Linked DNA regions of Arabidopsis thaliana. The protein of the gene in region 3 binds, or shares a complex with, the protein of the main gene of each other region. Each region holds a gene or a part of one and is shown on either strand. Other genes may lie near its edges.

Region 1 (6,462 bases), on a different chromosome or scaffold from region 3:
TGAGTGTTTATAAAAGCTGTGGAAGCTTCTTGATACAAAGACTAAAAAGAATTTATAGAAAGAACACGAAGAAGATGAAGAGGAAGATCGTGACGGCAACTACTTACGAGGCTCTACACATTTGTTTTAGCTTCGGGTTGTTTTGTTTGAAAAATGACATAATTCATAATTGTGTATGTAATGAAAGGTAGACATGGTTGCACGTATTCACTATTCAGGATAGAAAATGGAGGGACCGATAATTAGAATCTCAATTTCTAGGCAGAGTGTCAATTTTCTTTTCTTATTCTTGGCATTGTAGAAAATGACCCGGAAGAAAAACCTTAAAGTTTAATGAAGGCGATGGTTGGTGTTTGGATTAGATTCCAGCTTTTGATAGGTTTAGCATCAACAATGTCTTGGTTCTTGTTCTTTAAGTCTAAGGTTTTTCTTTTACTATCAATCTTTGGTTCATTCCTGAAACTGTCTTCAAGAAATAACCGAAATTGAACTAGAATAAACAGAATCTTTGGTGTAGTTTGAACGCAAAACAACTTTTCCATTGAAAAAGGTCGAACAAGACATCATCAAATCATGGGGACATAATTATCCATGATTTTCTAAGACAGGACTTGCGCAAACTCTAAGCTTTCGTAAGAAAAATCTCTTTATATAATAATAAACTCACATTGAATCATCAGAATCTTCTGATTCACTTCTCTCCGGTTCAACTCCTGTTGGATTACTAGTGCCTGTCTCAGGAGCTTCAGGCTTTTCAACAGGTGTAGGTGAAGAAGAAGATACTTTCTTACTTGCATTACTAGCATTCTCGTTCGTAGCTGGTTCCTCTTGCTCATGTACCTACACCAAAAAAAGTTCAAATAAATGAAGTTACTAAATCCAAGGAGCAAATATAGACACATCATGTGTCGAAAATAGAAAGAAAAGCTTACATTTTCTACCGTTCCGCCACTCAATATATTCAACAAGTCTCTCTCAACCCGCTGTACAAGCTCCGGCTGCAACATTTTGGCAAATCAATATGTTAACTTAATAGAAAGAACTTTGGAGTTCCAAAAGATACGTTTCACTACAGACTTTCAATCATAATCACAAGTATTAGTGAAACAATGTTGATGGATAGATAACAACAAATGAAAATTACATTAAGGTCAGGCTCTCGACGAAATCTCCTCTTTCGAGCATCCTTCATTGGAGGAGTTAGACCATGTCTGTATTCAACTGTATTAGGCGCAGGATCACCAGGCTCCCTAACCATGATCATCTGTGTGCCAAATCAAAGCATCCATATTGAGTTTTAGTCCAAAATTACAGAAGTTAACGCATATAAGTAAAAGATGAATCAAGTAACTTGATTTTACCTGCCCAATATCAGCAGTTTTGACTAATGCACAATCATCATAAGTTTTAAAAGACTCAACAACTGCAGGGAGATCAAGCAGAGAAGCCGGGAACTCGTCGTTTCCAATCATAAACGTCCCGTTTCTCCCATCCTCTGCAAATTCAGTTCACACAAACATTACGTATCAAGTTTGCTCCAGAGACAATATGCAAATGGATTTCTAGACAAACTATAATGATGCAACAAGAATGTCTTTTGGCTTCTTTGACAAAACAGACAATTCACAACATTAAGCTGATCCAGGAGACACAAATCACAAGCTTTGATCCTTAATCAGATTCAAGAATGTCTTTTGGGCAAACCAACATTCAAGAACTCATCACGTGACACAAGGAGCAATCCCCGAAACGATCCAGACACTAATTTCATTGATTGACGACTAAAGGACATAAATTTAAGAAAAAGGATGAAACTTTAACCCAGATGTAATGTGCCAAAAAAGAGAGAAACCCTTTAAAAATTGGTACCTGAAAAAAACAAATCCAAAGGGATTTCGTCGGAAGTAGAAGCATCCTCGCTTAAAAGCCGATCAATTCGTTCTGAAACAGACGGTGGAACCCTAAGTATGAACTGTTCTTCCATTGTAGATACCAACAGCTTGACTTGAATTCTTCTTCTTAATCAATCCAGAAACGTGAATTCGCGAACGCAGATCGTATCGAATACGTATACTTCGGTCTGTTGATGTCGTAAGTCGAAAAGAGACGAGAATCTATTGAACTGAAACACGAATTCTTTGTTATGTTAGAGAGAGAGAGAGAGAGAGAGAGAGAGAGAGACATTATAAGATAAACCTTCTAGAAGTATCCTTTTAACAATTTATTATTTTATTTCCCTCCCTAAAGGTTTCAAGATTTATGTTTTGACCAAAATAATTATAAAAGGTACAAACAGAACCCAACAATTGGTGAAAAATCACCAATTTGCTATTTAATTCTATTGAATTTTACATTTTTAGTTCCTCTTAGATAATTGATCTCACTAAGTATAAATGTATAATGATAATAAAAAGGAAGATAATTTAATTACCAGAAATTGGAATGGAGCATCTATCAAATAGAAAACTTTAAGGGGATTTTAATACTTTAAAATAATTTTGAGGGGGTTAAATGTAAAACGTAAATAATATAAAGAAACCCTAATAAATAAGTCGTTCATTGATCAATCTTCTCCAATTCTTGCAGCATCACTTCTCCGTCGTTCCTCACCACCGAGATTCGTTCACCGGTAAGTCTTATCCCTGATATTTTGCTCTTCTTCCCAACCGTATATACCCGTATCTTCTTCTTTCTCTGTCGAATAAACTTGGCTTTTCCGACTTCGATTCCTTCAATTGTAAACAACTTCGTTGCCCGTACAACTTTTTGAGTCCGGTGAAAGATCCCGTGACGGAAAAAACTGTAGATCAGGCAATTATTATGTCTATACATCGATATAAAGGATTGAATCGTTCATCTTAAGTAAGTTTGACGAAAGTTGTGATCTTTTGTGCCTATTCACATATAACGTTTCTTAGCTCCTATCTTTTGAAATTGAGCTGATTCGATCTCTACCTGAATTGCATGTGATCTTATTTTGATATAATTTACTATTCAATTAGAAAATATGATCTTTCTAGATTGATTGCTTCTTTAAAGTTCTCTTAGACGCTGGTGTTATAGCTCTTGTGTTTGTGGTCTCTTCTCTCTTAAATATCCAACCTCTTTTGGTGTATTTTCTAATCTAGTTTGTGTTGACTGACTGATAGAGAGATTGAAGCTTGACTCAATGAGGGGAAGGAGCTACACTCCGTCACCACCTAGGGGTTATGGGAGGAGGGGTCGAAGCCCAAGCCCTAGAGGCCGATATGGAGGTCGTAGCAGGGACCTCCCGACCAGTCTTTTGGTTCGCAATCTACGCCATGATTGCAGGTACATACTTTTGACTTCTCTATTATTTTCTTCAGCCATTGTGGATGATGTTATTGTTTGCACACCTCTTAAGCAAGAAGACTTGACACCTCTTAGCATATTTTGGCATGATGTTCTCTTATCTTTACTGTAAAGGTTTTCAAAAAGTTGACGTCAATGTATCTTCATTTCTTGGCTTTTAGCAAATTGTAATTCTCTTCTTACTCCTTGTCCTTTTCTTCAGGCAAGAAGATCTCAGGAAGTCGTTTGAGCAGTTTGGTCCTGTCAAGGACATTTACCTGCCAAGGGATTATTATACCGGGTGAGCATGTTTTGTAAATAGGACAACCAACACTTGATTTTTACTTATGTTCTGATTAGAAAATATCCCTATTTTCACATCTTCTTTCTTGATTTGTTTACTACGTTTATCTGCCTTTCCTTTTTCTTTCGGTCATCTCTTTGTGTCTTCTCATGGATACTAGGGCCTTATGAGAATCTTCTTAAAAACTGATTTCATAAATTAAATTTAGGCTCCATATTTTTCAGATAGTAATTTTCTGTGACATGACAATAGACAGTGAGCATACTTGTGGTCTTAAACCACTAGTTTTCGGTGTCGTTAGGTGGATTAGTCGTTTAGAATTTAGTACCTGGTGAGACCTCATAGTTTTTAGTCGCTTAAGGAAAAGGATACATGATGATATGTTCCATGTCTGAACACACTATGAGTGAGTTAATTGAAGTTGTTGAGGTTTAGCAGTGAATCTAAAGAATTGAAGACATCAAAGAAGTAATTAGAGTTCTTATGAAGATGTTCTATATGGTAGTGAAGAATTGAAGTGAAGTTGAGTTTGTATTCTATGTGAAGATGAATCAAGTCTTCAAGAAGTCATCTTTGTACTGACACTTGCAAGGCTAGCAGGCAAGTGCTTGCTTTTTTCATGTTTACTGATATCTTCGGTTGCAGGGGATCATATCGCCAGTTGTCCTTCAACAGGATTGTTATAAAGTGGTACATCTTCCTCGCCATTTTGTATGTTTGGTTTCTAGTCTGAGATCTTTTTGTTCTACATTTTGAATGCAGAGATCCGCGAGGGTTTGGGTTCGTTCAATTTATGGACCCTGCTGATGCTGCTGATGCAAAACATCACATGGATGGTTATCTTCTTCTTGGCCGTGAGTTGACTGTCGTGTTTGCAGAAGAGAACAGAAAGAAACCGACTGAAATGAGAGCAAGGGAGCGTGGTGGAGGAAGGTGCATGAATCTTTCTCTTTTTGAACTATTTTGGTTATTGTCAAATATCAAAAACTCAATATTTAACATCTTTTTTTGGTTCGTTGGAGCAGCAGATTTCGGGATAGAAGACGTACTCCACCTCGTTACTACTCTCGCTCTCGTTCTCCTCCCCCTCGACGTGGTAGATCTCGGTCACGGAGCGGTGACTATTATTCTCCTCCCCCTAGAAGACATCACCCAAGGTTTCTATATGTTTCTGTCTAAGCTCAATTACAAACTTCTCCACGCTTGTATGCTCACTGTCTATTGTCACAGATCTATCTCGCCCAGGGAAGAGCGATATGATGGGAGGAGGTCATACTCGCGCTCACCTGCCTCTGATGGCTCAAGGGGTCGCAGTTTAACTCCAGTCAGAGGTAAGAGCCGCAGCTTAAGCCCCAGCCCTAGAAGAAGCATAAGCCGTAGCCCAAGAAGAAGCAGGAGCCCAAGCCCAAAAAGAAATAGGAGCGTTAGCCCAAGAAGAAGCATAAGCCGTAGCCCTAGAAGAAGCAGGAGTCCGAGGAGAAGCAGAAGAAGCTACACTCCTGAACCCGCCAGAAGCAGGAGCCAAAGCCCGCATGGGGGCCAGTATGACGAAGACCGTTCACCAAGCCAGTGATTGATTCGTCACTCTTTTGCTAGTCTTCTCTAGATTATGGTTGTGTCTTGTACCCTTATCCTAAGACGAAGTTAAGATGATACTGAAAAGCCGAGAACTTTATGTTTTGGGTTTTTATGTTTTGATCTATGGAACATGTGGGGAACATGGTACTGTTATTATAAGTTCTTTAAGATATAATCTGAGGTTATTATGATAGTTGCAACATTGGTCAACCACACAAGGAGCTCATGGAGGAAGCTTTTTGGATTACTTGCGAATATATCAGCTCTAGTTTTTGTTATCCGTCGTATCAACCAAAGCATTTTCAAGAGATCCATTAATCACATCAAAAGCCGCGTTTTGGATATGTTGCACTGGGCGGAAGACGGATGGCTTCGCCGTCGTTTTGAACATGTCATCGTTTTGGTAATACTAACGTTAATTGCTATTCTGAATAGAATTGGTTTCTTTGATGAATCAAGAACTCAGCAGAGCCAAAGAGTATGGTCCGATGTTAACTGAGGAGTTGGGTTTTCTTCATAAAGATGAGACCTTTTCTGTTTTAAAAGCAAAACAAATCGCCATTTGGAGCATTCTCGTCCACCGAATCTACCTACCAGTCTACCACCATTGACAAGCTTTAAACTTTAAACTATAAAAAAGGCAACAACTTGTATAGAGAGATAGAAAGAGATGTGGAAGAGCATAGGCGAATTGAGTTGCGATGATTATGTCAAAGCTGGGTTGACTTTGGAAGACGCCAAGGAATTTGACAAATTGGTGAGCGATGTGATTACAAAGGCTATAGAGACTGATCCAAGAGATCAATGGAAAGCTTTGGTAGATGAGAGTGTGCTTAAGCCATGGCATCCACATCCTCTGCATCAGCTTCTCTACTACTCTGTCTATTCAAACTGGGACTCCTCTGTTCATGGCCCTCCTCTCTATTGGTTTCCTTCTCTGTGCGTTTCATGAACTTGTTCGAAATTCTGATATTTATCTGTAAAATACAGCTGATTGTCTGTTCAATTTCTTCTTTGTGTGTGTTTAGATCTCAGTCAAAGTCCACCAATCTGGGGAAGCTGATGGAATATCACGGACCAAGACTTCTTGGTCCTTCATACAAGAACCCTCTTGAAAGTTTTGAACTTTTCCGGAGATTCTCAGTTGAACACCCTGAAGTAAGCATCAACGTTGAATGTTGTCGAGCAAAAGAATCTTTGTCGCAGCTCTGGTTTGGTCTAATGTAAACATCATTTTCAGGTTTATTGGTCATTTGTTATCGATGAGC
Region 2 (9,232 bases), on a different chromosome or scaffold from region 3:
CCAAAATTTAGATACTGATTTCATCGCTGATGGACTAGATTTAGAAGAAGGGGAAATCGTCGAATGATGGTCATAGTCTTGTTCTGGCAAAAAGGAATTACTCTCTGTGAAACATTTTTGAGGATTATGTTCATGCCTGAAGCTCTCTTGTTCGAGCACATTAGCTATACTTGGTAATAGCCAAAGCTTTTACTGGAATGCAATAAGCCACAGCACTGATGGTCATAAGTTTTCGGTCTGGGCTTTGATCAACAGGTATTTCTTTTGTAGTAAACCAGATTACTAGGCTGTTCTGTGGTTTGTAGCAAACTTGATTGTTTACATACAAGATAGTTAACTTAAGAATGTCTCCGAAACTTTTGTTCAGTCTTATCCTCCTATAGATCCTCATAAATTAATCTTGTTGTCTTTCAGATCTTCTTTATAGTCAATGTAATACAGACCAAACCTTGTAGTTTGCCCAAAAGTTTTCTAGCAACGGACCAGAAGGATCAACAATAGATATAATCTATGAACGGATATTATATGTAAAGAGTAAATAAGCAAGAGAGCATACATGTAAACAACAATATCAAAAATTGCAATCTAGATCATACAGATTTGAAGAGAAATTATTTCATGGATTACATTTGAGAGTAAACAAATAAGTCCACTACGGAATCATTAAAATTCTCTTAATATATACATTGCAACCGGTTCAATTCAACTCAACCCACTCTGCAGGCTCCTAAGGACTTTGAAATCCCTCAAGCTTAAAAAGAAGAACTAAAGAGTTGACCTGAGAACAATGGCACGGATCTAAATGAGTTTATGTATGCCAACCAGACGGCGCTTTAATCTCTCCAAGCCTCCTTCTCTGCTTGAAAATCATCAAACATCTATTTCATTAGCATTAATGTATTGAGTATCATTATTCTTTTGATTTCACATATTTATTGCATTCACGACTGGAACCATGAGTTTTATATCGATGAGGTAAATATCAGGAAGTTGGGGAATAGAATAGCTCACCTCTTATTGGTTAGAGGAATACTGACATCTCTGTAGAAGGGATAAAGGGAAGAATCCTATCACCATAGAGTTCGTGCAGTTTCACCAATAGCCGTCCGGAATCAAGATCATCTTTCCATATCTGATCAAGGATTGCTTTCATGGTAATAGCCCGACTCCTGCCGCTTTCTTTCACCTTTCCATTTCTGCTTTCAGATTCGTTAGCATCAGAGGCTTGTTCTGATGAGGATGGCTGAACAGAGTTTTGTGGCGGATTGTCATTTTCCACTGGATTATCTACTTGCATTGGAGCTGAGCCAGATTGATCTTGTGAATGTACACCATCTGGCCCATCCATGGTTATCAATCTTTTCTGCGGTGATTGGTTTTCTGAAGAATCTACACTCAGCTTCCGCTTGTGGGGATCAGTACTGATTATCTTTCCCTTTCCCTTTCCCTTATGGAGAAAACTTGGTGACGGAGATGGTAAAGGTGGGAAGATTTTAAGCCGGCCATGTATACACAAGCCTGCAGCACGCTGAAAAGAAAAAGGGGGCAAGTCCATCTAAGGATTGTCCACTGAGAATTCTACAAAGATGAAATTTTACAAGGATGTGTTTACTAACCAGCAAGGCTCCATATACACGCCAAGCTTCGTAGATCTTCATCTGATTTTTTTGCTTCTCAGCATTCAATTCAGGTTCGAGAAGACTTAGATATGGTTCGAGATTTGATAGAATAAGAAGGCGTACCTACACAATATATGACATTCAGATGACAACAGATAACAATGCAGGATAGCTGTGCTAAAGTTTTTGGTAGCAGGGGTATCTGATTCACTGGAGTAGCCGTTTAAGACGATAAAAGTCCTAATTTCCCAATAAAATGAATAAGCAAACCCGGAAAAATGGTATGGGCAAATCAAATTGTATCTCAGATTCTGAAAAGTCCCTAGATTGAAGGACAAGCTGGGTAACATTATTTCTCGGTGATATCTGAAATAGCATGCACAAACTTTCTGAAAGGTCAAGGAATGACTTACAACAGTGTGCCCCAAAGCTGCTAATCCTTGAATCGCACCATAGTGCTGAGTCAAAGCCTTCTTTGGGTCCAGCAGTGCATTGACTAAAGTTCTGGTAAGACGAGACTGAAGAGTTATATAAACGGTTCCATACCTGCAAGATTTTATTAAAATCACAGGATTTCAGATGCTAAAAGAATATAAAGGTGAGATATGTAAAATAAAAGTGCGAGACAATGTACCCTTTTAAATAATGAAGAAGACTATAGCAAGTTATTACTAATTGTTGTTAATATAGATCTAACCATTTGTTTTTCAGCTCGAGCAAAAAAGAAGTAGATATCAATAGTAAAGAGATCAAACAAGATAAACTTAGCAGAACATCTATGGATAATCATCTCATGATATTTCCTTATAGAATTTCATTATTAGCTCCAGTAAGAAATCATGTATAGATCCCCACAATCAACCAAAACAAACACAGAGTTCATGACATGAAAGGGAAATAATGAACCTTTTACATATCAGTGAAACCAGATTTGCCGCAAAATCTCTGAGTTCCCAGTGGTTGTCAGCAAATCTATTTCCAAGCTTTCTTGATACAAGGCATGTTACAACAGATGGCATCAACTGGTGCAGCTGGCACCAAAAGAAAAAGTTCACTCAGCTTCATGGTTATGAAACATTGCTCAAACAACCAACTCATTATCCCAAGGCTGGTTTACATAATCTCAATACAGATCAAAGGCAAAACTTGTTGTTATTTCAAGCAGACTGAGAGTACTTAAGCACTCGAGCTTGCAGACCTCGGACAAACACTACCACTAACCATTTGATACCCATTATATAGAATATGTCTAATATAGAACTTGAAGAAACCCAAATCAGAAGCCTAAAGAAAATGGAGCTACATGATTCTACAATTTTTTAGATAGTGGCAAAAGATAATCCAGAGAAAACTTACATAAGGTTCTATGTGTATGTGAGGATTCTGTAGAAGACTTCTAACAATGTGCATTAGATTAAACAGGAGTCGGAAGTCATTTAAGCCATTTGAAACCTGCACAAGTGGAGAAAATTAAAACTGCAAAAACTTAACGTGGGTCTTATTGGTTCACACTAGTTCCTCGGTGGTGCATAATGTTACCTCATCAGCAATGAAATTTGTAAAATATGGAACTAGAGGATGAAGTCCTGAGTCTGAGGCCAAGCTCACTAATGCTTCTTTATACAGAGGAGGATTTGACTTGCTCATTGCAAGTTCAGCAATCTTTTGGAAGTATAACTGTGAAGAGAGAACAACAGATAAGTCCTATGTATGTAAGGATATTACCCTATGATATTTAGACTGCACCATATACCTGAAGTTCCCTAGATAGTACATGCTTCACTGGTAGCCTAACGTCAATAAGAGGTCCGTCTTTTTGTTCATGGATTTTGGTTTCTGCAGGTGCTCTAATGACTAGAGACAACACAAACAAGTGAAAAATATAGTCAAGATAGGAAAGAACAAGGATTTCTTGCTCATGCGGATCCGCAAAACAATAATACAGATGGATCTGAAAATATGTATTTTGATCTTTCAGTAACATCAGTAAGCTCACCACTTAACACGGGGTAACTGTAGAAAGAGGTTTATACACCTCTGAAACGTCATTGTACATACTAATATTTGTTTCATGTTGAAAAATTCATATAATGACTTTACAACTCTAGCCCAGGGCATAAGATTGAGAGACAAACCTTCTAAAGGAGCATTTTCTGGTATAGCTGGTTGCACTCCTTCAATAGCCAGCCAGTGACAAACAATTTCAGTATCAAGGGGAGCTTTTGGCAGCGGGGCTTCGATCACCTAGAATCATGACATTTCTTGAAAACATAAGGAACCCAAAATGAAGAATTTAACTGAAACAAAAAAAACATGCCAGCTTTTCCAACATCTTACATCTTTGAAATCCACTTCTCTGTCATCAGTGTAGAACAAATCGCGATGTCCAATAGCTTTTCTAAAACGAAATGGCCCTCCTGAGGCAAATCCATATATCGGCTGCAATAGATATAATCACTCTCAAAAAGATGCCTTTGATTCAGTTGACTACAATAGTGAAATATGTGAAAGCAATGTGTAACAGATGGTGTTATTCATATGCACCAGTAAAGCCAAACCTCAAAACTAGAAACCATATATCTTTGTCACTCAACTACAAAAACCAGGAAGCTTACACAACCAAAACTCTAGATAATGGGAAGTAAGAAATAGGTCATCGAGTTTGTACCTCAACGTTCCTTAAGTTGAGAGCACCATCTACATCCGAAGCTGTTAAAGTCGTTCTCTTTGAGTGACGCATGCATTTGATAGCTTCCTGAAAGGACATCCAAAGAGAAGGTACAGAAAGATCAATATGCTGATACCAGAAAACTCACCTCAAGAACACAAAGACATGATTAGAAAAAGAAGGTAACCTGCATGATCTCTCGGACACGATACTCAACATCAGGAGCAAGCATAAGAGCAGCTTCAGGTAACAAGTTGGTAATCCCAATACTTTGAGCTATTACCTCAACCGTTTCCTTAGGTACAATGCTCATCTTCCCCAGGCTGCTTATCCACTGTGGCGATACAAGGACACAGAAGAAACATCAACAGTGGTTATATTAAGTAAGAAAAAAGCACAAAAAATCATTGGAACCTCCCAATTAAACCATTGTTGGGCATACACAATGAATCGCAATTCAACAGCCCAGAAGACAAAGGCTGCTTCCATACTCCGTAAAAGTGTGAAATTTGTCCCGTTAACCAAAATTCGAGCACAAAAATAAGTTGGAAATTTACATGAACCGGAGAGGGATTTGCGTTGAGCGACGAAGATCCAGACACTTCACTTGAGAGGAAAGAAGCTCCGATTAACCGATGCCAAGCCTCTTGTTAATATAAGAAGCCGGGCCGGGTTTTTTAATTGCTGTCAAATTCACCCGGTTGGACTATTTCGGGTTAAATTAAATTTGGGCTGTCTCTATATCTATTTTGGGCCAAGGCCCAATAAGAGCGAAATATTTTATTTCTCTGCCAACTAAAGACAATTAATCCTACGAGAAAGGACGAAACAAATGTTTCAAGACAGTAGTTCTGTCTTCTGTGGTAGTTCTTTCTATTTTCTACACAAACAAAATTGATCCAAACACAAAAGGAAAAAGGAGCACAAAAGTCCAAATCAATGAAGACATCAACATACGTGAAAGCCTTAATCACACTCTTTCTTTACAAACATCAAGACCAAATATAATTAGGGGCAAACCAAATTGTTGGTGGATGCAATAACATATGTAGATTTTTCTTCTTTTTACATGAAAAAATAATTGCCAGTCCCAGTATCAGAATTTGGGACGAATACAAGCAATTTCTTTGTATATCAACCAAAATAATATTAGGATAGTCCTGAAACATCCCGTACCCAAGATATTCCACCTGGAAACGCTCTATGAACTCTGCTTCTTCCCGCTGCAGTGACTTTTGTTTTTTCCCCCATCACCATAATTTCTTTCGCCATAACCGGCTTGTGTATTACATTTGCATCCTCTTTGCCTTCCGTCAGAAACCGCAGACCCTGGAGTTTCCATAGTTTTATAGTTTTAGAAAGCCAAAGAAACATCATGACATGAAATCATCAAATAACAGCTACTACCACAAGTATTTTCAGGTTCCAATTTTTATTCGAATAAGCTTGATGAGAGATTGCCTTGAATATATGCAAATTCAAGATCAACCATCTCGTTGAATTTTTTCACTATAAGCAACTTTTTTGCGTCAACAGAATGGAAATGCACATTTATATGATGGAAAAAGGTATAGTAGCATTCTTACAGAGAGAGAAGTATTAGTGGATGGTTTTCCATCAATAGGTAATCTCTCACCAACATCCTAAACCACAAAGCCAGAAACAAGATTTTTTTCATTAAGGCCTATAACTACGTGAAAAATAAGTAAGAAAACGTTTCACTTAATTTGTAAGTTAACACTCACCTGAAATACTTTAGTACTTGTGCTGTCTTTAACGCCTGCAACTTGACATAGATGCCATAGTCCAGAGAGGGTCACATCCTAAAATTTTAACAAAAAAAATATCTGTTTGAGATCAATTAGTTTTAAGAAAATTGATAGCGTGAAGTGGTTTGTAGTATCTAATGGTTGTAGACAAATTACTTGTTTGCTTTCAAGACTTTCAATCTTCCCTTCCTGTAAAAATTTCATATAAGAGAGTAAAGATATATTAGCCCCTTTAAAATATGCATATTAGAGGGCAATGATGCATATTAGAGGGCAATGATGAGACTTACTATTCCAGAAATCATTTCATTAAGTTGCTTAAAATCAAACCCAATTTGCGAAATGCTTGATCTCATCTCAGTAACCTGAATTGAAGCAAGATTCCATGTGAGCATTAGCATTAAAATGAATATCAAAGAAAGGCATAGATGGAGTAAATCGCAGATATGAGAATCAAGCTGTAATTTGAAAGAAACAAAGGACTCTACTGTACATGTGAAGAAAAACAGTTCAGGGCCAAAGAGATAGGACGTTAATAAATAAATACTCTACAATCTTTTGGAATTCCTAAATGTGTTTTAAATTCTTCTAAGATGTTAAATGTACAAGAGGAGATCTCTCTCAGACGAATGTATAAGTATCCTAATCTTAAGTCTAAGGAAAAAATAAGGCATCAATACAAGAAAGTGAGAAATAAAACGGGTTCCTTACATCACTTAAGATCATTTTAGATGTCTCATTCTGCTCTTCCACCTTCCAATCCAAGGTCGCTAGCTTCTGAGAAAGATGTTTCCTTGTTGACTGCGTAAACAAATGCACTAGGTCAAAAAATCATAATGAAATAGAATATATAACAGAGGAAGGTCTCAAAAAAATTATTTGTTCACCGCTAATGTGTCTGACAAATCGTCTAGTTGTTTCGAAACAGAGGCAACCGCATCAGCCATATTTTTCTTTGTCACAAACATTGCATCTGAAAACGACCAGCCCTGCAATGTGGGTAAACCTTAGAAGTCAATGATATATAGTTTACCGGTAAACCACATGTTACAAAACTATAACAAAAGACACATGAAACATAGAGAAAAATAGACAGATTTTAAAGAGATAAACACCTTCCACCACATGTAGCAGTACCCCATAGCTCCAACGGCAGCCGCTGGAACCAGGTAAGATGCATAGCCTACAAGAGCAAAAGCAAAGATTATATCATTCTCTGTTTCTCATAAAAAATAAACATATTTGAAACATTTCCTACATTATCAAAAGTAGTACATAAATATTTTATGAGAAACTAAGACTTGTACATACCACTGGAGTTTGAATCTCCATTAAAGATGGTAACTGGATTGGTCATAGTTAGTTCTTTGATCTCGTTTGCAAGCTGTCGAATCTGGTTATCAAGAGACAACAAAAATTATGTCACTAAGAGGGGAGTCCAGTATTGGCCTAGTGATAAAGAGTGATGAATTATTTTCTATTCCGATTGTTTATGTTGGATCGATGAGAAAAATAAGCTTACAGAGCAAAAGAAAATGAAATACCTGAGCAGCAAGGAGTGCACCGTCATACTTAAAAGGAGTGCTTTCAACTCCTTGAGCACCATTGAGTAAGTCTTGAAGTTGGGCTATTAGGTCAGACAACCTCCCATGTCTCAATACGATCGAACCAGATACACCTTGGACATGATGAAAACAGAACCAAGTGTCATTAAAGGTCATTAAATGGAACATCCAAGCTAGAATAACTAAATCATTCTTGCTACATCCAAGCTGTATTACCATCAAAACTACACTAACGATTGAAGATTAGAAGTTCTGGACCATTTTAGCAAAGTGATCAATCAATTTGCCAAGATAAATTCAAACCCTAACTCTTCATAAAACAATTCCCTAGATTAGAGAGTCAAAGCAATACGAATCGAATTTGATTACAACAAGCAAAGATAATAAAACAAGCATCAAAGTGAGAAAGAGACCTGCGCCGAGTAGGATAAGGACCTTAGAGGTCTGAACACCGGCTTGCATCGCCATGAATTCCGGTTACAAGCTGAAAAAGATTCTCGATTAATTCTCTGTTCCGTGTCGCCAAGCCACCGCGAGAGACCAATTATGACACCCTTTTGCCCTTTAGACCTCAATTTTAGCTTTGATTTACCACAAAGATAAATACTTTTCAAAACTTATGTTCTTACCCCCGAAGCTTCCAATTTTAATCGAACTATTGTCCTTAGACACATATTAGAATATTTAACACCACTTGAGCTTATATACATATCAAACGTTAATATGTACAGTATATACAATTACATATGTATTTATACTTTTATTGCCCTATAGACCTCAGCTTTAGCTTTGATTGACCAGAAACATTAATATTTTAACAATTTATGTATTCACCCCAAACACTTCCTTTTGAATCAGATTACCCCAGAAGGCAATGCAAATCGAATGACTAAGGTTATTTTAGACATTTCTCAATAATCCAAACCATTACGCAACTTCACTGTATTAACCTGTTTTCTTCATCGAAGAAGATAGAGAGACCAAAACAAAAAAAGCTTTGAATATCCGCCATGGATGTTGGACGATGCTTTCTCTTTCTTCTATTACCAAGTTTCTTCTTCTTGCCTTCACAAACGCAGAGCACCGATTCATTCACATCGGTTCTCGTATCTCAAAACGGACTCGATTTCGTCAAAAATCTTCTAGTTAACAAAGCTATCGCGTCGATTATACCTCTCCAGATTCCCAGAATTGAGAAATCTATGAAAATCCCGTTCCTTGGAGGAATCGATGTTGTTGTCTCGAATCTCACGATATACGAGCTTGACGTTGCGTCATCTTATGTTAAGCTTGGTGAGACAGGTGTTGTCATCGTCGCTTCAGGGACGACTTGTAATTTGAGTATGAATTGGCATTATTCTTACAGTACTTGGCTTCCTCCTATTGAAATATCTGATCAGGGTATTGCATCTGTTCAGGTAATTATGATCAATTTTACTAATTCTTAGTTTTGATCATCTCAATCTTGTGAATCAATGGAAAGACAAGATTTTTCTTGCGAATCACAAATTTCTGTTCTGTTTTGTATCCTTATGTTTCGTGATTGTTATATGTCTTAGAACATAGTTGCATATGGGAATCAGAGGTGACTGTTGCTCTCTGTTTACCATT
Region 3 (8,649 bases):
ATTAGGGAATGTGAAGCCCAAGCCCAATTTCTAAACACCGTGTCGTTTTGATAGCTAAATAACAGTGAGATGCTGAGTCGTGAAACGGCACGCAGTGTTTTGTTTTTTTAAACATTGAATTTCTCGGCCCGACATTATCGTGGAAGTACGAGATTCACTGGATTTGATGGCTCGTCGGCTGTTTCTCCTCCTCCTCGCCGTCACGGCAGGGTTGAGCTTGACGGGAACAACCGTCAGAGCAGTTGGCATAAATTGGGGGACAGAAGCGTCGCACCCTCTTCCGCCTTCAAAGGTTGTAGAGCTTCTGAAATCAAACGGCATTGTCAAAGTGAAGCTCTTCGATGCCGACCCAAAAGTTCTCCGAGCTCTCTCTGGTTCTAATATTGGTGTCACTATCGGAATCCAAAATTCGATGCTCAAGAGCTTGAATGCATCCGTAAAGGTAGCAGAGAGCTGGGTACATGACAATGTCACTCGTTACTTCAACGGTGGAAACAGAGTTCGAATCGAGTATCTTCTTTCTCCTTCTCTTCTGCTTATCCAGTTATATATATATAGATTTAAGATTTTTAAGCTGGAATTTAACTTATGGAATGTGAATGAGTCGGATTTGTTTCAATGCCAAATTGCCAATCTTCTTATTGTGAAATTATCATTAAAGAAAAGAATTGATTTTCAGGTATGTAGCAGTTGGAGAAGAGCCATTTCTCCAGAGCTATGGCAATCAGTATAAGCCTTTTGTGATTGGGGCAGCTATGAATATCCAAAATGCTTTAGTTAAGGCGAACTTGGCAAATGAAGTGAAGGTTGTAGTCCCCTCAAGCTTTGATTCCTTTCTTTCTGAATCTGGTCGACCTTCTTCAGGACACTTTAGGGCTGACCTCAACAAGACGATGATTGAACTCCTCTCCTTTCTCACAAAGCACCACTCTCCTTTTTTTGTGACAATCTCTCCTTTCCTAAGCTTTCACCAGAACAAGAACATCTCCCTTGACTTTAGCCTCTTTAAAGAAACAGCAAAGGCTCACAAAGACGGACGTAAAACCTACAGAAACAGCTTTGATCTAAGCTATGACACACTTGTCTCTGCATTGTTCACAATTGGGTTTTCGGAGGTGGATATCGTTGTGTCAAAGATCGGTTGGCCTACAGATGGAGCAGAAAATGCAACATCACTGACTGCTGAGGCGTTCTTTAAAGGACTGATAGTTCACTTGGAGAAAAAGACGGCCTCTCTCCCGCGTCCTCCTGTTGAAACCTACATTGAAAGTCTCTTGGACGAAGATCAGAGAAACTTATCTGCTGGGAACTTTGAGAGGCACTGGGGAGTGTTCACTTTCGACGGTCAAGCCAAATACAATTTCAGTTTCAACCATAAGAATCAGGTAAACGCGCAGAATGTTCAGTACCTTCCTCCTAAGTGGTGTGTGGTGAACAATAACAAGGACTTGTCAAACGCGTCAGCAAGAGCATTAGAAGCGTGTGCTGTTGCGGACTGTACATCGATACTTCCTGGCGGGTCGTGTTCAGGCATCAGATGGCCAGGCAACGTTTCATACGCGTTCAATAGCTTGTACCAGCAAAATGATCACAGTGCAGAAAGCTGCAACTTTGGTGGACTTGGTTTGATCACTACTGTTGATCCTTCTGAGGATAATTGCCGGTTCTCGATTCAACTTGACACTTCTCATTCATCTTCGCAAACTCCAAATTTCTTTCAGAGCTGGCCTCTCCTCTTATTGTTCCTACTGTCCGGACTCTTTTAAAGTTGTAGTTATAGCAAAATTTTGGTGGATTTTGCCTCTAATTTCTCTCTAATAGCCACATTTCAAAACTGTATTGGGCTACGTAAAAAATAACTGTTATTGGGCTGGGCCTTCGTAAAGGTTAGATGATTATGGGCCTTAGAACCATGTTGTCTTATTTGATAAAAAAAGCAAGTCCAGTTATTTTGGGAAACCGGTCGGTAAAAGATAAGATGTAAAAGAATTTAAGATTTAAGATAAATGCAATAATAAAGTTCCACTATTTTTGAGAGAAATATAAATAAAACGCGAGATTTTTTATTCTACGTCTAAAAAGGCTCTCACACGATTCGTTAAGAGTTTTGGTCTGTTGTTTATCGCAAACCCTAGGTCATGGCTGGGATGTACAATCAAGACGGCGGCGGAGGTGCGCCTATTCCGTCGTACGGTGGTGATGGATACGGCGGAGGGGGAGGTTATGGAGGTGGTGATGCTGGATATGGTGGACGCGGTGCCTCTGGCGGAGGTAGTTACGGCGGACGCGGTGGTTACGGTGGAGGCGGTGGTAGAGGAAATCGAGGTTTGTGATTTAGATTGTTGCAGATCTGATTGATATAACCTTATGATTCTTTAGATTTCTCCATTCCTTGCTGAGCTACTTTTGTTAAATCTTTAGTTTCTCACTATTTCGATGATTCGTTTTGATTTAGGCGGTGGAGGTGGTGGATATCAAGGAGGTGATCGCGGTGGAAGAGGAAGTGGCGGCGGAGGCAGAGATGGAGATTGGCGTTGTCCCAACCCCAGGTAATGATTGCAAATTATTTGGGATTCCATTCTTTCTGCATATGTAATGAATTGAATTAGCTGTTGAATTCCTTTGTGGGAGCATGTTTTGAAATTGTTTACCCTCGAAACTGTTTGTATAGTTGTGGGAACGTGAACTTTGCAAGGAGAGTTGAATGTAACAAGTGTGGTGCACTTGCTCCTTCTGGTACTAGTTCTGGTGCTAATGATCGTGGAGGTGGTGGATATAGCCGAGGTGGAGGTGACAGTGATCGTGGGGGTGGTCGTGGTGGTAGAAACGATAGTGGTAGGAGCTATGAGAGTAGTAGATATGATGGTGGAAGTAGGAGTGGTGGTAGCTATGGTAGTGGTAGTCAGAGGGAAAATGGTTCGTATGGTCAGGCTCCTCCTCCTGCTGCAGCTATTCCATCCTACGATGGTTCTGGAAGTTATCCTCCACCCACGGGTTATGGAATGGAAGCTGTTCCCCCGCCTACAAGCTATTCTGGTGGCCCGCCGTCATATGGTGGTCCACGAGGGGGTTATGGCAGTGATGCACCGAGCACTGGTGGTCGTGGTGGTAGGAGTGGCGGCTATGATGGTGGTAGTGCTCCTCGACGGCAGGAAGCTAGTTATGAAGATGCAGCTACTGAAAAAGTCAAGCAGTGCGATGCTGATTGTGATGATAATTGTGATAATGCTAGAATATACATCTCTAATTTACCTCCGGATGTGACAACTGATGAACTCAAGGATCTCTTTGGTGGCATTGGCCAAGTAATAACACTGGTCTTTTACTTCTGTTGTGTTTTATATCTTGGAATAAGCCTTTCCCTTGCTATAAGTTATTAAGTTCTTGTTTGTGTACATGTTTATTGGTGTGCTGATAAAGTGTGTCTGGTTGGATCTATTTTAGGTTGGAAGAATTAAGCAGAAGCGTGGTTACAAAGATCAGTGGCCCTATAATATTAAGATTTACACTGATGAGAAGGGTAACTATAAAGGTGACGCCTGTCTGGCTTATGAAGATCCCAGCGCTGCACACTCTGCAGGCGGCTTTTTCAACAGTATGTACTATGGAATTGCTGTCTAGCTTAAAATTGTTTAAAAGTTCTGTTTCGTGAATGGTGGTGGATTGTTTTGTAGATTACGAAATGAGGGGGAACAAGATTAGTGTAACGATGGCAGAAAAGTCTGCGCCCCGTGCTCCTACCTTTGACCAGAGGTAGCTGTCCTGATCATTTATCAGCATTCTTTTTTGTTACCATTTAGCTGTTACCACCTGCTCCATCTTATAGGTGTTTGTACTCTAGTTGTTTTAGGCTTTTAGCTTTATAATTTTAGTAGGGAATATGAGTTTTTGCAATGCTAAGTTTATGTTCCTTGTCTCTGAAGACTGTTTGGATCTTGTATCCTACTGGGGATTTGCTTTGTACACTCATCTGGGTATGACAGAAAGGGTTGGGAGTTCGTATGTCATCAAATTATGCCTTAGGTCTATGTTCATGCCATAGGAAATAAATCTATGTAGTTATCTTGTAACCTATAGCTGTGGCTGCTCTTGGTTGTGAAGAGATCTGTTGTTTGTTCATGCTTCTTATAAGCTCCTAGTAATTCCCCATATAAGTTGTATCTTTATCTGGTTTTCCATGCTCTATAAGACTCGTCTTTGTTGTGTGTTGAGTCACTTCATCTTACGTAGTAAGCTGGTTTTAATTAGAGATGTCTGTGTCTGATCTAATAATGTTGTCCTTGCAAACTTGTGAATGTCGCAGAGGTGGGGGTAGAGGAGGAGGAGGTGGTGGCTATGGTGGTGGTGGGGGAGACAGAAGAAGAGACAACTACAGTTCAGGGCCAGACAGAAACCACCATGGGGGAAACCGGTCTCGTCCATATTGAGAGAAAGAGAGGAATGAATGAATCAGCTGTTATGTGTTCTAAGAGTTTTGTGTGTGTTAAGGAGGGAATTTTAGTAAAATGTTCTATGAATCCTCATATTGGAGATACAAAAAAAGAGGTAGGTTTTTGTTCACTTTGACCTTGAGCAAAATTACCCCTTTTTTCTCCCTACTTGTTCTGTTTCTTTGGGGATCTATTATTCATGCATCTCCGGTTTATTTTTAGTTTGTTTTTCACGATGTGAAATGTTTGTTTTTTGTTTTATTGAAGGAAGCTGATATTTAACTGCAAAATGCATTGCAAATTGGTGCTATGATGATTTCAGGTGAGTGCATTCATCTTGATTACTTCTTTCAACACCAGAAGTCCCTTTTTTGCTTCTCTTCCTTCTTTTTTTGACTCTGTTCAACACAAACAAAACAGTCGTATGTTTTCATGTTGTATTGTGTAATGCATTCATTTAGGCAACCACACTTCTCTTTACAATTTTCGGAGTTGTTATCGTTTTTTCTCGCAAACTTCTTTTATAGCAACATGTGTTCCTCGAGAATTGGCAGGAGTGGGGGATGGCTAGGCACTTGTGTCTGATCAGTTGATCTGAAGTATGCAGTGACCTTTCAAAGATCAACTTGATGATTTTATTGCCAACTTCACTCACTGGGGCTATGATTAGGATTAGGGTTTTACAAATGAGTGGCCTTTTTTTGGATAAAAGACGTTGTTAATAAATAGTTAATCGTTCAATCTGGATCCCAAGGACTAAAGAGAAGGGTGTCTCGTAAAGTTCTCTATGTGTATATGTCATGACCTTTTGGTCAAGTGCCGGATTGGCCAACTCTTTAATGTGTTACATGTAACGAAAGTTTATGTTGAAATTATAGGAACAAAAAAGACTAATGCCGAAAATCCCAAGAGAAAGTTTATTAATGACTTGTTGTGTAGAAAATATGGACGAGAGAAAGAATCCAGGAAATTTGGAATCCTGTAACATTAGTTTCAAGATTCCCATTCTCAATTCGACAAAGAGAATCCATCTTCTAACATTGCATATTCACAGCTCAATCGCTGGCTGGCTCTAGCACACGGCGATATTACTTATTTACCATCCCTTTCACACACATATTGGATAATATACATATTCTTAATAAAAGTCCACCAGTAGTCTTAAGCATAAATTTACAAAAAAAAAAAAAAAAAAAAAAAGTAAGGCAGTAACAATGTAATTCTAACAAACTGCTTAGATGTGTGAAATCCAGATATTTGTAAGTTGTAACTTGTAAGACCACACTATTTAATACTTAATGTGTTCTTAACCTCAAATTGACAATACCTGCGATTTTTCTCACTTTCGACACAATTTTCTATATGATTTGAACTTCAACAATTCTATATAAAAAAAGGTAAAATATTTACATGCAAATAATAAACTTACCCATTACCATATCTTGTATACAAGAAGCTAAACGAAGGAGGGAATGAAGTAGGAATCACATATAAGCAAGAAGAAGCTATGGAACTCAGGATGGATAGCGCCAACAGATATACATGTACGCATATACAAAACATACAGCACTGGTGAGCCATGGCGCTATCCCTCCTGAGCTTTATAGCTATTTCTCTACTACTCAATCTGAAATTTACATCCATAGGTATGCATCTTCCTTTACATATGTGTTATAATGTATCATGTATGTTATATGTATTGTAATGTTAAGTACGTATATATATATATAGAGGAGCTTGACCTTGGATCATATTGCTGTATTTATAGTCTCAACTCTAAGCTAAGTGTCCCCATATTACATATTTTGGAAGGTGTACCAATTTTTTATGCATATTCGGCACTTTTAATGCATTCCCATACCCACAATAACTTTATTTCTTTCTTTTATTGTTTACTAAGAAATAGGGAGGTGATAGAGGATAGATTTAGTTAATGTATACTGTATATATCTATAGGGCAATTTGTCAACGAATTACGTCTAATTATAAACTGTTGTGCGACTGCGTCAGATAGGATTTTATGAGTTTTGTTCGACGATGCAAACTCAGCACGGCCACAAGCTAGTCACCGGTTAGACAAGTCCTTGAGATTAAAAGGAAACGAAGGAAATATTTAATGAGATCGATAAGTGAGAATGTATGAAAATAAAAAGGATAAAATGAAATAATCCAGTATGTGGAAGAACGCAAAAAGCGGTGATGCATTCAATATTTGGCGTAGGTGGGATCTCCACTTCTCCTTTATTTCCAAATTTATTATTAGTACGTAGTGACTATTTCAGAATCTTGTAATGTTATCATATCAATAAAATCAATATTTATGTCCACAACAACAACAAAATTTCATGACATCCATTTCATCACAAACGGTTTTCTTGTTTTTGCTTTTGTTTCATATATATTGATTTTATTGTTATTTCTATGTATTCTACATTGATTACGGTAAATGAATTGTGAACTACAAATTATAAATGTATAATTAATAGAATACATTATCTCACACTATAAAAAATAAAATAAAATTATCATTGGTTTAAAACTTTAGAGAAGTGTTTTAAAGTGGAAGATGGTGAGTGTAAAATGAAAATAAAAACGACTAAAAAGACATGTATGAAATGTAGTTTAATATGTAAGAATTCTTTTTAAAACTAATCTTCAAGAAATATAGATCTTGTGTAAAATATATAAAGAGATATGCATGGGAGTTTGTGTTAGCCAGCTACCACGGCCGTACCTTGCACGTCCCGGCGGTCCCTTATGTTATTGCTTCTAAATTCATCCATCTTTTTTTTTTCATCAACTAAACAAAAACTCATCCTATATATAATGGAGAGCACTACATTTATTGCAGAAAGGAGTACAGCAAAATTTAAGGAATGAAGTGAGATTATAATTCTCATCCTTGACCTCACATGTGATTCTTAAAAGAAACTGTAAAAAGTAAAAACAGTAGTATGAAAATAAAGCTAAGAATATCGATCGGTGGTAACATTCCTACATTTCTGTTTTAGTTTCTCATTTAAACATCTTACATTCCTTTCAATCAAAGTATAAACATACATATATAGATTATATATATATTTTTAAATCTTATTTGACAACAACTCTAATTTTAGTCAAAGAGTATAAACTTTCTGTTAGAGAAAAAAAAATGGTTCTCATAAGGTGTGTAACAAAACATATCGTACGTTACATTTTTGATGAATTCTTTAACTCTGATGAAAATATGCGTTTTCAAGAAGAAAGCGGCTATGTTTACGGAGTGAAAAATGTAGATCATGAAGATGAAGTACCACAAAACATATACATTTTTCACATAAAAAACTCATAATGAGAAAATAAAAATAAAGAAAATATGAAGAGTAAGCGAAAACTACAACTACAATTGTTCCCAAAATGACGCACGACCACATCTGTTGGAAAAAACACACATCAATCATGGATCTATCGCCTTCTCTCTGTCTCTCTATGGATGATCATTGTCGTTTGTTTTATGTCAAATATCTGAGAGAATAATCTGCATGCATGGTTAGGTCTTTCCCAAGTGATGGCTGGAGTGCCCTGCCTACCCGTTTTGGGTTCTGGCCAGAGAATCCAACCACCGCCGGAGTGGTCAGCAGTCGTGTTTTCTCAGCCAGACTTCCGGAGGTTTGCCGACAGGTTCACGATAAGCAGCCGTTCGGAATGTTCAAAGGCGAAAATGGCATGAACTACACATTTTCAACCTTTTTGATCGAAGCAATACTCATCATTTTCTTCATCAAAATTGTTTACGTCCTCCTTCGACCTCTTCGCCAACCTCGTATAGTCTGCGAGATCATTGTTCGTATTCGATCTTATATTTTCTTTTACATAGTTAATAAATTTCCATTGATGGAGCTAATTATATTATTTAAGACAAAATGCATGGTTTTGTGTTTTGAAGGGTGGGATGATGATAGGACCGTCCATGTTAGGAAGAAACCGAAACTTCAATTACTATCTGTTTCCACCGATTGCGAATTACATATGCGCAAACATAGGACTGATGGGATTCTTTTACTTCTTCTTCCTCACGGCTGCCAAAACAGACGTTGCAGAAATCTTTAAAGCACCAAGAAAGCATAAGTACATTGCTGCAGTTAGCGTTTTGGTGCCGATTGCTTGCGTGGGGAGCACGGGAGCTGCCCTAAAACACAAAATGGATATAAGATTGCAGAAACCTTCGTCCATTGGAGGG
Region 4 (6,265 bases), on a different chromosome or scaffold from region 3:
GGCGGTGGTTGTGATGGTGGTGGTGGATCGGATCTCAGCTCTAGAGGCTCTCGATCGTTTTCGTTGTCCCCACTGTAACAGTACATCACCGCCGCGACGGCTAGGACTAGGATCTTGTTGTTGTTGCTGCTGTTGAGTGGATCTGAATCGGAATCCTTTGGGGACTCCGTCTAGAGATGAGGTGTTGTTGGTGGTGGTTGTGCATGATCCGCCGTTAAATCCTCTTCCGGCGATTGAGGTTGTGGTAATGACGGTGGTGGTGGTGGTGTCTTCGTTTGTTGCTCTTGATGGTGATGGTCGTAAGTAAGGCTTCTTACCTCCATTTGTGAGAGGAAGACAATCTGGGCTTACTCTCTGATACCTAATCAAAAACACAAAAATAATTAGATCAAAATCATGAAAACGAAAAGGAAGATTGAACTGTGAAAAATTGTAAAAATGTGTCTGTGTTTTATGCGAGATTTTAGAGTTAATCTTCTCAAAATTCTTCTGAGTTTTAATTGAAAATAACCCAAATCAGAATTTGACGGAGAAGCTCTGAGATTATTTTGTTTTTGTTCAAAAGGCGAAAAACAATTTGGTTATTGGATCAAATTGAGATTAGTTAAAAACTGGTGAATCCAAAGAAGACGAAATCTGGAGGAGATCAAAAGTTTTTGACATTAGAGTCAATCTCAAGTTTTTTTACAATCAAACTCAGATCCATAGAAACTAATTAGAAATCCAGAAAACAACAGAAAACCAAATCAGTGGAAAATAGAAAAACTCAGAGAAGATGGAAAAAACACAGAGAGAAGAAGAACGGAGAAGAAGAAGAAGAGAAACCTCATCATTATACCCAAGTGAAAACCAGATTCGAATTATGTAATGGTTACGTTTCCGATTCCGATCTGTGATAGTTTTTTTTTTGTATCAGGAATCTATGATTCGTTAAATTTCTTCTCCAGAACAAATTTCGATTCCGATTAAACGAGGATAAACGAAACACAGCTTCCTCGTGTGATTCTAAGTTTCTCGTACCGATCACCAGCGAATCAAAAGGATTATATTGAATAAAGAGAATGAAAAAAGAAGGGAAAAATATTTGTGTAGAGAGAAAAGAGAGAGGAGGAGAAGAGAAGAAACGGAGGCGCTCTGCGTTAAACAGTGAGGAGGATGAAGAAGAAGAAGAAGAAGAAGGAAGGCGGAAGGGAAGGAGAAAGATAGTGGGTGCGTTATTGTGTCAAAACTTCTTTTATTCTTTTTATTTTTCCAATCCAGTCCTTTTATTTTCTGTAGACTTTCAATTCGCAACCCACTTTGTTTTCTTCTCTTCACGTAATAGTTCGTTTCGAGATCGGCCCATTATCAGGCCCACTAGATCCTCTTTCGCCGGAACTTGTGTGATTCAAAACGTCTCCGTACCAATTTTGACAGTAGACCGAATTCTGATCGCGACGGTTTTCAATCACGCCGAAGAAATACACAATTTGAATTTGAACTTATAAACCCAGTTCTTGTAATGTTCGACCAAAAACGAATCAATACTAAAACCAATTTTTAGGTATAGCCAAATTTAACCAAATAAACCGGATTACAAATGATTTTATTTGATTTCGAATTCTATAAAACCGGAAATGAAACCGAATCCAACCTAGTAAACCGGATTGCCACTTTTAGGCCATGTGGTCTGTAGTCAAAGATTGATCTTGTATTGAAAATGAAAACTGGAAACGTAAACCAAATAAAAACCAAACCGTAAGACTGATAGCCATTTCAGGGTCTGTATCCAAAGATTGATTTACTACAAAAGTTGTCACACAAAGTTAAGAACATCAAAGAACAATATGATCCACCAGGGAAGCCAAAGAAGTTCTCCTTTATGATGAGATTGATAGGCAAATCTCGCCAGCTTAAACCTGCCGTAGACCCTTATCCTTGAGCAGCATTGGTAAATTCCCCAGTCTTAGGCTGATATAAGTTCTCTTTTGGCTCTTGTTGACTAGCGGAAAAGGCGTGGAACTGATCTTTTAGGCACTTTTCCTTCGAGCTTTAGTCTCCGATAAGACTCCCTGATATGACAAGGTCTGATAGGTCCTGATTCTTTCCTTTCCGCCATAACAACTCGAGCTACAGATAATGTATTGAGGTTCAGTAAATGAGCTTTGTTGGCACATAAACAAAATCATTGGAAATTTTTGCACTGGCTTACCTGTTTCAACGAGTTCACCAACGAACATCTTTGCAATACCACACGCAACAATAATCATTGGCATACCAATCTTCTGACTACCAGTGACACCTATCAATAACTGCATTAACATAAAAGCTAAATGGTTCATATTTGCAATGAAACAAAATTAAGAATGTTGATAACCACAAATCATATAACATATATACCTTCTTCATCTGTGGTCTTTGAAGTGCAGATCTCCTAAAAGATTCATATCTACTCATCTGATCCTCAGTGAATTGCGATAATATGGTTCTGAAGAATTCAACAAACAATCAATCATCAAAGAAACATGAAGAACAATCAAAATTCTACAAAGACTCACTGCATTTTGGCCATTTTAGCAGGATCAGAACTAGTTGGATATTTAGTAAGCTCAACATCCATATTCTCTTCCTCTTCTTCATCATCTTCATCTTTATCTTTGTTCTTAGCTTCAGTAACAACAACAGAGGTTTTAGCTTTCTTCATCGGACGGCGAACATCCACAGGTCTCTCATCTTCATCTTGAGTCTGGTCGATTTCAATTCGTCCGTCTTCACTACCATCACCTCCTCCTCCTCCGCCAACGGGTGATTCCGGTGGCGATTCCTCTTGCTCTTCCTCAATCGCTGCTTCAAACGGATCCTTTGAATGCTTCATTCCTGATTAAAACCTAAACGAAAAAATCACATAATTGAGATCTCAAATTAGGGTTTAGAACGAAGCAAATTGCTACGGATCATTGACGAACCTTGAAGGTGAAACTCAGATCGAATTTCAAGAGACACGAATCTCTAGACCGTTGTTAACAACAACTGGGAGCTCCACAATCTTCCAGGCGGAGAGGAAAATTCATCGACTGTGTTCAATTTCAAGCTTTTCTATAGGAGTGTAGCGACTGTTATAAGTCGGTTTAGTCCAATCAATTGGTGGATCAAAAGAAAAGATCTGAACCGGTTTTTGTTAAACCAACCCAAAAAGTTTCGAGAACCACATCATTGGATTTGGGCTGGGCTCAGTTCAAAACCACTGAATAACTAACTGGTTTTTTTTTTTGGAATACAATGTTGGGATAACGATTTACAACTAGCCAAATGTTATAAATCGAGCTAGACAACAAAATTAAAAATATCAATGATAGTGAATTGGATACTAAAAAGTAAAAACACTCAAATGCTAACTATTTCTATAGATATTGGATAATCATATGTTAAATCAAATGCTTGAGTGATTTCAACATTTTTCTTTGGTCATCATGATTTTTATAATTCCAAATGAATCAAAGAACAGTTATCTATTTTTTCAAATCTTTCACATAATTCATAATTTTCTAGCAAATGTTATTTAGTTTTGCTTGATACTTTATGATAGGAAGATATAATGCTAACCCTTTTTTTCCTCCTCAATTTCAATATAAACTCATATCACCACCAAACCATCATTACAAATTCTAAAAACAAAACTCTATGAAACACATAAAACAGAAAAATATATATTTAGTCTCTTATATATATAACATCACTGCATTTAGAAAGTATTAGGCTGTTTAGCCTGAGAGATCATCTGGACAACCTCTCTCATGGTCGGTCTCTCAACACTATGTTCTTGCACACATAGCATTGCCACAAAGAACAGTTCCATGGCCTCTGCTAATGGAATATTGCTCAATCTCTGGTCAATGATCTTCACCACACCTTGTCTGTTACAGTTTGTTTGGATCTTTGACCATTGCACAATGTCTATCCCTTCTTCCCCAAAATTATCTACTGGTTTTCGACCCGTAATCAGCTCCAATAACACTACTCCGAAGCTGTACACATCGCTCTTCTCGTCTATTCTCAGTGTATATGCATATTCTGCATTCAAGAAACGGATAAAATGGGCTAAGATCAATCATACGTTTTAACTAGAAGTACTGAAATCCTAAGTTTGAATGTTACGTGTGATACAAGAAAGTAGTATTAGGAATCAGTCATGTACCTGGAGCGATGTAGCCGTACGAGCCAGCGATCGAGGACATGCACTCGGAAGCTCCATTGTCTTGCATCATAAACTTAGCAAGCCCAAAATCAGCAACATGAGCTTCAAACTCAGGACCCAACAAGATGTTGTTTGACTTCACATCACGGTGGATTATAAGTGGCGAGCAATCATGGTGAAGATAACACAACCCCTTAGCCGCTTCCAACGCTATTTGCAACCGTGTTTCCCATTTCAAAAACACTCCAGCTTTCCCGTGCAAGACTTCTCCGAGGCTACCATTAGGCATATACTCGTAAACAAGGAGATTCACGTCTTTGTTTGAACAAAAAGCGAGCAATCTCACTATGTTTCTGTGTCTGATTCTACCTAATGTCTGAATCTCTGCGGCTAAACCGTTGTCATGAGATGATCCTTTGGTTATGGTTAAGAGCTTCTTGACTGCAACTTCTTCTCCGTTTGGCATTACCCCTTTGTAGACAATCCCTCGTCCGCCTTTCCCAATCACATGGTTCTCTTTAACACATTCTAATATGTGTTCGCTTCTGAAACCGAGCTTCTGAAACCCTATAAGCTTCCATAAATTCGGGTTGTTCTTTCTCATTCTCCTATTCTTGACCACAGCTAAAACGACGAACACCAAGAAAAACCCTAGTAGGCCTAACCCGAAGAACAACTTGAATTTTGCGGAGATTTCACCTCGGGATCTTGCGTTGTTCTGGTTAAGTAGCTGAGATTGAGATTGGTTTTGGGAACCGTTGCAAGGGTTTGAAGAAAATCCACAGAGAAAAGGGTTTCCAAGGAATGACGTGTTGTTGAAGTAAGAGAATTGCCCTGAAGTTGGTACTGAACCGGAGAAGTTGTTGTGTGAGAAATCTGCTGATGTTAAACTCTTCATGTATCCGAGTTCGTTGGGAAGGCTTTGGTTAAAGGAATTCCAAGAAACATTCAGATAGTTTAGAATCCGAATCTGCGATATCTGAACCGGAATCTGACCGGAAATCTGGTTGTGACTCAAATCTAAATATGTGAGTGACATGCAATCACCAAACTCAGGAGGAAACTTGCCTGAGAAGTTGTTTCTGCTCATGTCAATCTTGAGAAGACTCTTCAAACTTCCGATTTCGCCAGGGATCTGTCCCGATAACCGGTTTGCACCGAGAAGAAGAATCTGAAGGCTTCTGAGGTTTCTGATTGAACCAGGAATCGGTCCGGATAACCTGTTGTTGGACAGATTGATCTGAGTAAGGCTCGAAAACTGCGCATTTCCCGCCTCTTCTTCGGGGATTTCTCCAGTCAAAAAGTTGTTTTGAAGCTCAAGAAGCGAAAGATTCGGCAAATAAATCAAACCCTTTGGCAACTTACTTGTCAGAAAGTTCTGTCCGAGACGGAATCTCCATAGCGGTTCACATTGGCCAAGATCTTCAGGGAGAGGACCGAACAAGAAGTTGTTGAAGAGAATGAGAATCTTTAGTCTTCTTCCGAAACAGAGTGACTCAGGGATCAAACCTGTGAGTTTATTGGTAGACAAATCGATCTCGATCAAGTTCCCGTTTGATCCGAGTTTCGAAGGAATCTTTCCGGTGAAATTGTTGTGCCAAAGCTTGAGTATTTGCAGATCAGGAAGCTCAGATACGAACTCAGGGATCTCGCCGTGTAGTCTGTTGAAGAAGAGGTTAAACAACTGAAGCTTTTGAAGTCCAGATAGCTCTAGAGGAATCTCTCCTTCAAGAAAGTTGTTGGAGAGATCAAGAGTCTTGAGGCTTGTCATGTTCCCTAACTCTCGAGGAACAGAGCCTGTAAGCTCATTGGTCTGAAGAAACAGAACCTCCAAGTTCTTGAGATTCCCCAATTCTGCAGGAATTGATCCTTTCAAGCTGCAATTAGCTAAATCCAAATGAACAAGATTGATCAATCTCCCGAAATCTGCAGGTATCCCACCGCGGTAATCGTTGTAGTAACCTAAGTAAAGCTGTACCAAAGTCGTGATGTTCGCTAGCTCGTTAGGGATTCTCCCACGGAGATCATTACCAGATAAAGAAAGAAACTTGAGACTCAAGAAACTTCCATAGCTTCTAGGGATCTCACCGT

What was found.
Region 1: TAF15b (region 3) and TAF7 share a complex: the UniProt entries of both Arabidopsis thaliana proteins name them as parts of the TFIID complex.
Region 2: TAF15b (region 3) and TAFII59 share a complex: the UniProt entries of both Arabidopsis thaliana proteins name them as parts of the TFIID complex.
Region 4: TAF15b (region 3) and TAF11 share a complex: the UniProt entries of both Arabidopsis thaliana proteins name them as parts of the TFIID complex.

What each region holds. Positions count from the first base shown.
Region 1 is NC_003070.9:20,627,507-20,633,968, forward strand, and holds TAF7 (TBP-associated factor 7), read right to left. Parts: upstream 2,187-6,462; 5' UTR 1,985-2,186; coding exon 1,870-1,984; intron 1,496-1,869; coding exon 1,362-1,495; intron 1,265-1,361; coding exon 1,145-1,264; intron 999-1,144; coding exon 648-998; 3' UTR 517-647; downstream 1-516. Other genes in the region: SCL33 (SC35-like splicing factor 33), read left to right, coding at 3,170-3,312, 3,536-3,613, 4,181-4,216, 4,379-4,549, 4,645-4,773, 4,847-5,189; AAE18 (acyl-activating enzyme 18), read left to right, coding at 5,865-6,133, 6,223-6,352, 6,435-6,462. UniProt on the Arabidopsis thaliana protein: TAFs are components of the transcription factor IID (TFIID) complex that is essential for mediating regulation of RNA polymerase transcription.
Region 2 is NC_003070.9:1,402,585-1,411,816, forward strand, and holds TAFII59 (TATA BOX ASSOCIATED FACTOR II 59), read right to left. Parts: upstream 4,948-9,232; 5' UTR 4,845-4,947; exon of another isoform or gene 4,622-4,844; 5' UTR 4,601-4,621; coding exon 4,475-4,600; intron 4,375-4,474; coding exon 4,288-4,374; intron 4,059-4,287; coding exon 3,957-4,058; intron 3,864-3,956; coding exon 3,755-3,863; intron 3,474-3,754; coding exon 3,373-3,473; intron 3,297-3,372; coding exon 3,159-3,296; intron 3,072-3,158; coding exon 2,976-3,071; intron 2,651-2,975; coding exon 2,526-2,650; intron 2,166-2,525; coding exon 2,033-2,165; intron 1,743-2,032; coding exon 1,617-1,742; intron 1,529-1,616; coding exon 1,022-1,528; 3' UTR 1,012-1,021; intron 857-1,011; 3' UTR 501-856; downstream 1-500. Other genes in the region: AT1G04945 (HIT-type Zinc finger family protein), read left to right, coding at 1-67; AT1G04960 (golgin family A protein (DUF1664)), read right to left, coding at 5,437-5,616, 5,874-5,930, 6,033-6,110, 6,213-6,245, 6,347-6,421, 6,768-6,857, 6,944-7,045, 7,172-7,239 and 2 more; AT1G04970 (lipid-binding serum glycoprotein family protein), read left to right, coding at 8,632-9,039. UniProt on the Arabidopsis thaliana protein: TAFs are components of the transcription factor IID (TFIID) complex that is essential for mediating regulation of RNA polymerase transcription. Required for proper pollen function. May stabilize the interaction of TFIID with selected promoters.
Region 3 is NC_003076.8:23,634,344-23,642,992, reverse strand, and holds TAF15b (TBP-associated factor 15B), read left to right. Parts: upstream 1-2,019; 5' UTR 2,020-2,138; coding exon 2,139-2,325; intron 2,326-2,455; coding exon 2,456-2,549; intron 2,550-2,671; coding exon 2,672-3,305; intron 3,306-3,444; coding exon 3,445-3,595; intron 3,596-3,674; coding exon 3,675-3,753; intron 3,754-4,303; coding exon 4,304-4,427; 3' UTR 4,428-4,545; exon of another isoform or gene 4,546-4,697; 3' UTR 4,698-5,578; downstream 5,579-8,649. Other genes in the region: AT5G58480 (O-Glycosyl hydrolases family 17 protein), read left to right, coding at 167-510, 680-1,766; CHX25 (cation/H+ exchanger 25), read left to right, coding at 7,956-8,252, 8,356-8,649. UniProt on the Arabidopsis thaliana protein: TAFs are components of the transcription factor IID (TFIID) complex that is essential for mediating regulation of RNA polymerase transcription.
Region 4 is NC_003075.7:10,950,381-10,956,645, reverse strand, and holds TAF11 (TBP-associated factor 11), read right to left. Parts: upstream 3,107-6,265; 5' UTR 2,946-3,106; intron 2,868-2,945; 5' UTR 2,855-2,867; coding exon 2,538-2,854; intron 2,468-2,537; coding exon 2,380-2,467; intron 2,292-2,379; coding exon 2,192-2,291; intron 2,110-2,191; coding exon 1,982-2,109; 3' UTR 1,570-1,981; downstream 1-1,569. Other genes in the region: AT4G20300 (Serine/Threonine-kinase, putative (DUF1639)), read right to left, coding at 1-361, 826-833; AT4G20290 (uncharacterized protein), read left to right, coding at 1,062-1,487; BAM3 (Leucine-rich receptor-like protein kinase family protein), read right to left, coding at 3,722-4,050, 4,175-6,265. UniProt on the Arabidopsis thaliana protein: TAFs are components of the transcription factor IID (TFIID) complex that is essential for mediating regulation of RNA polymerase transcription.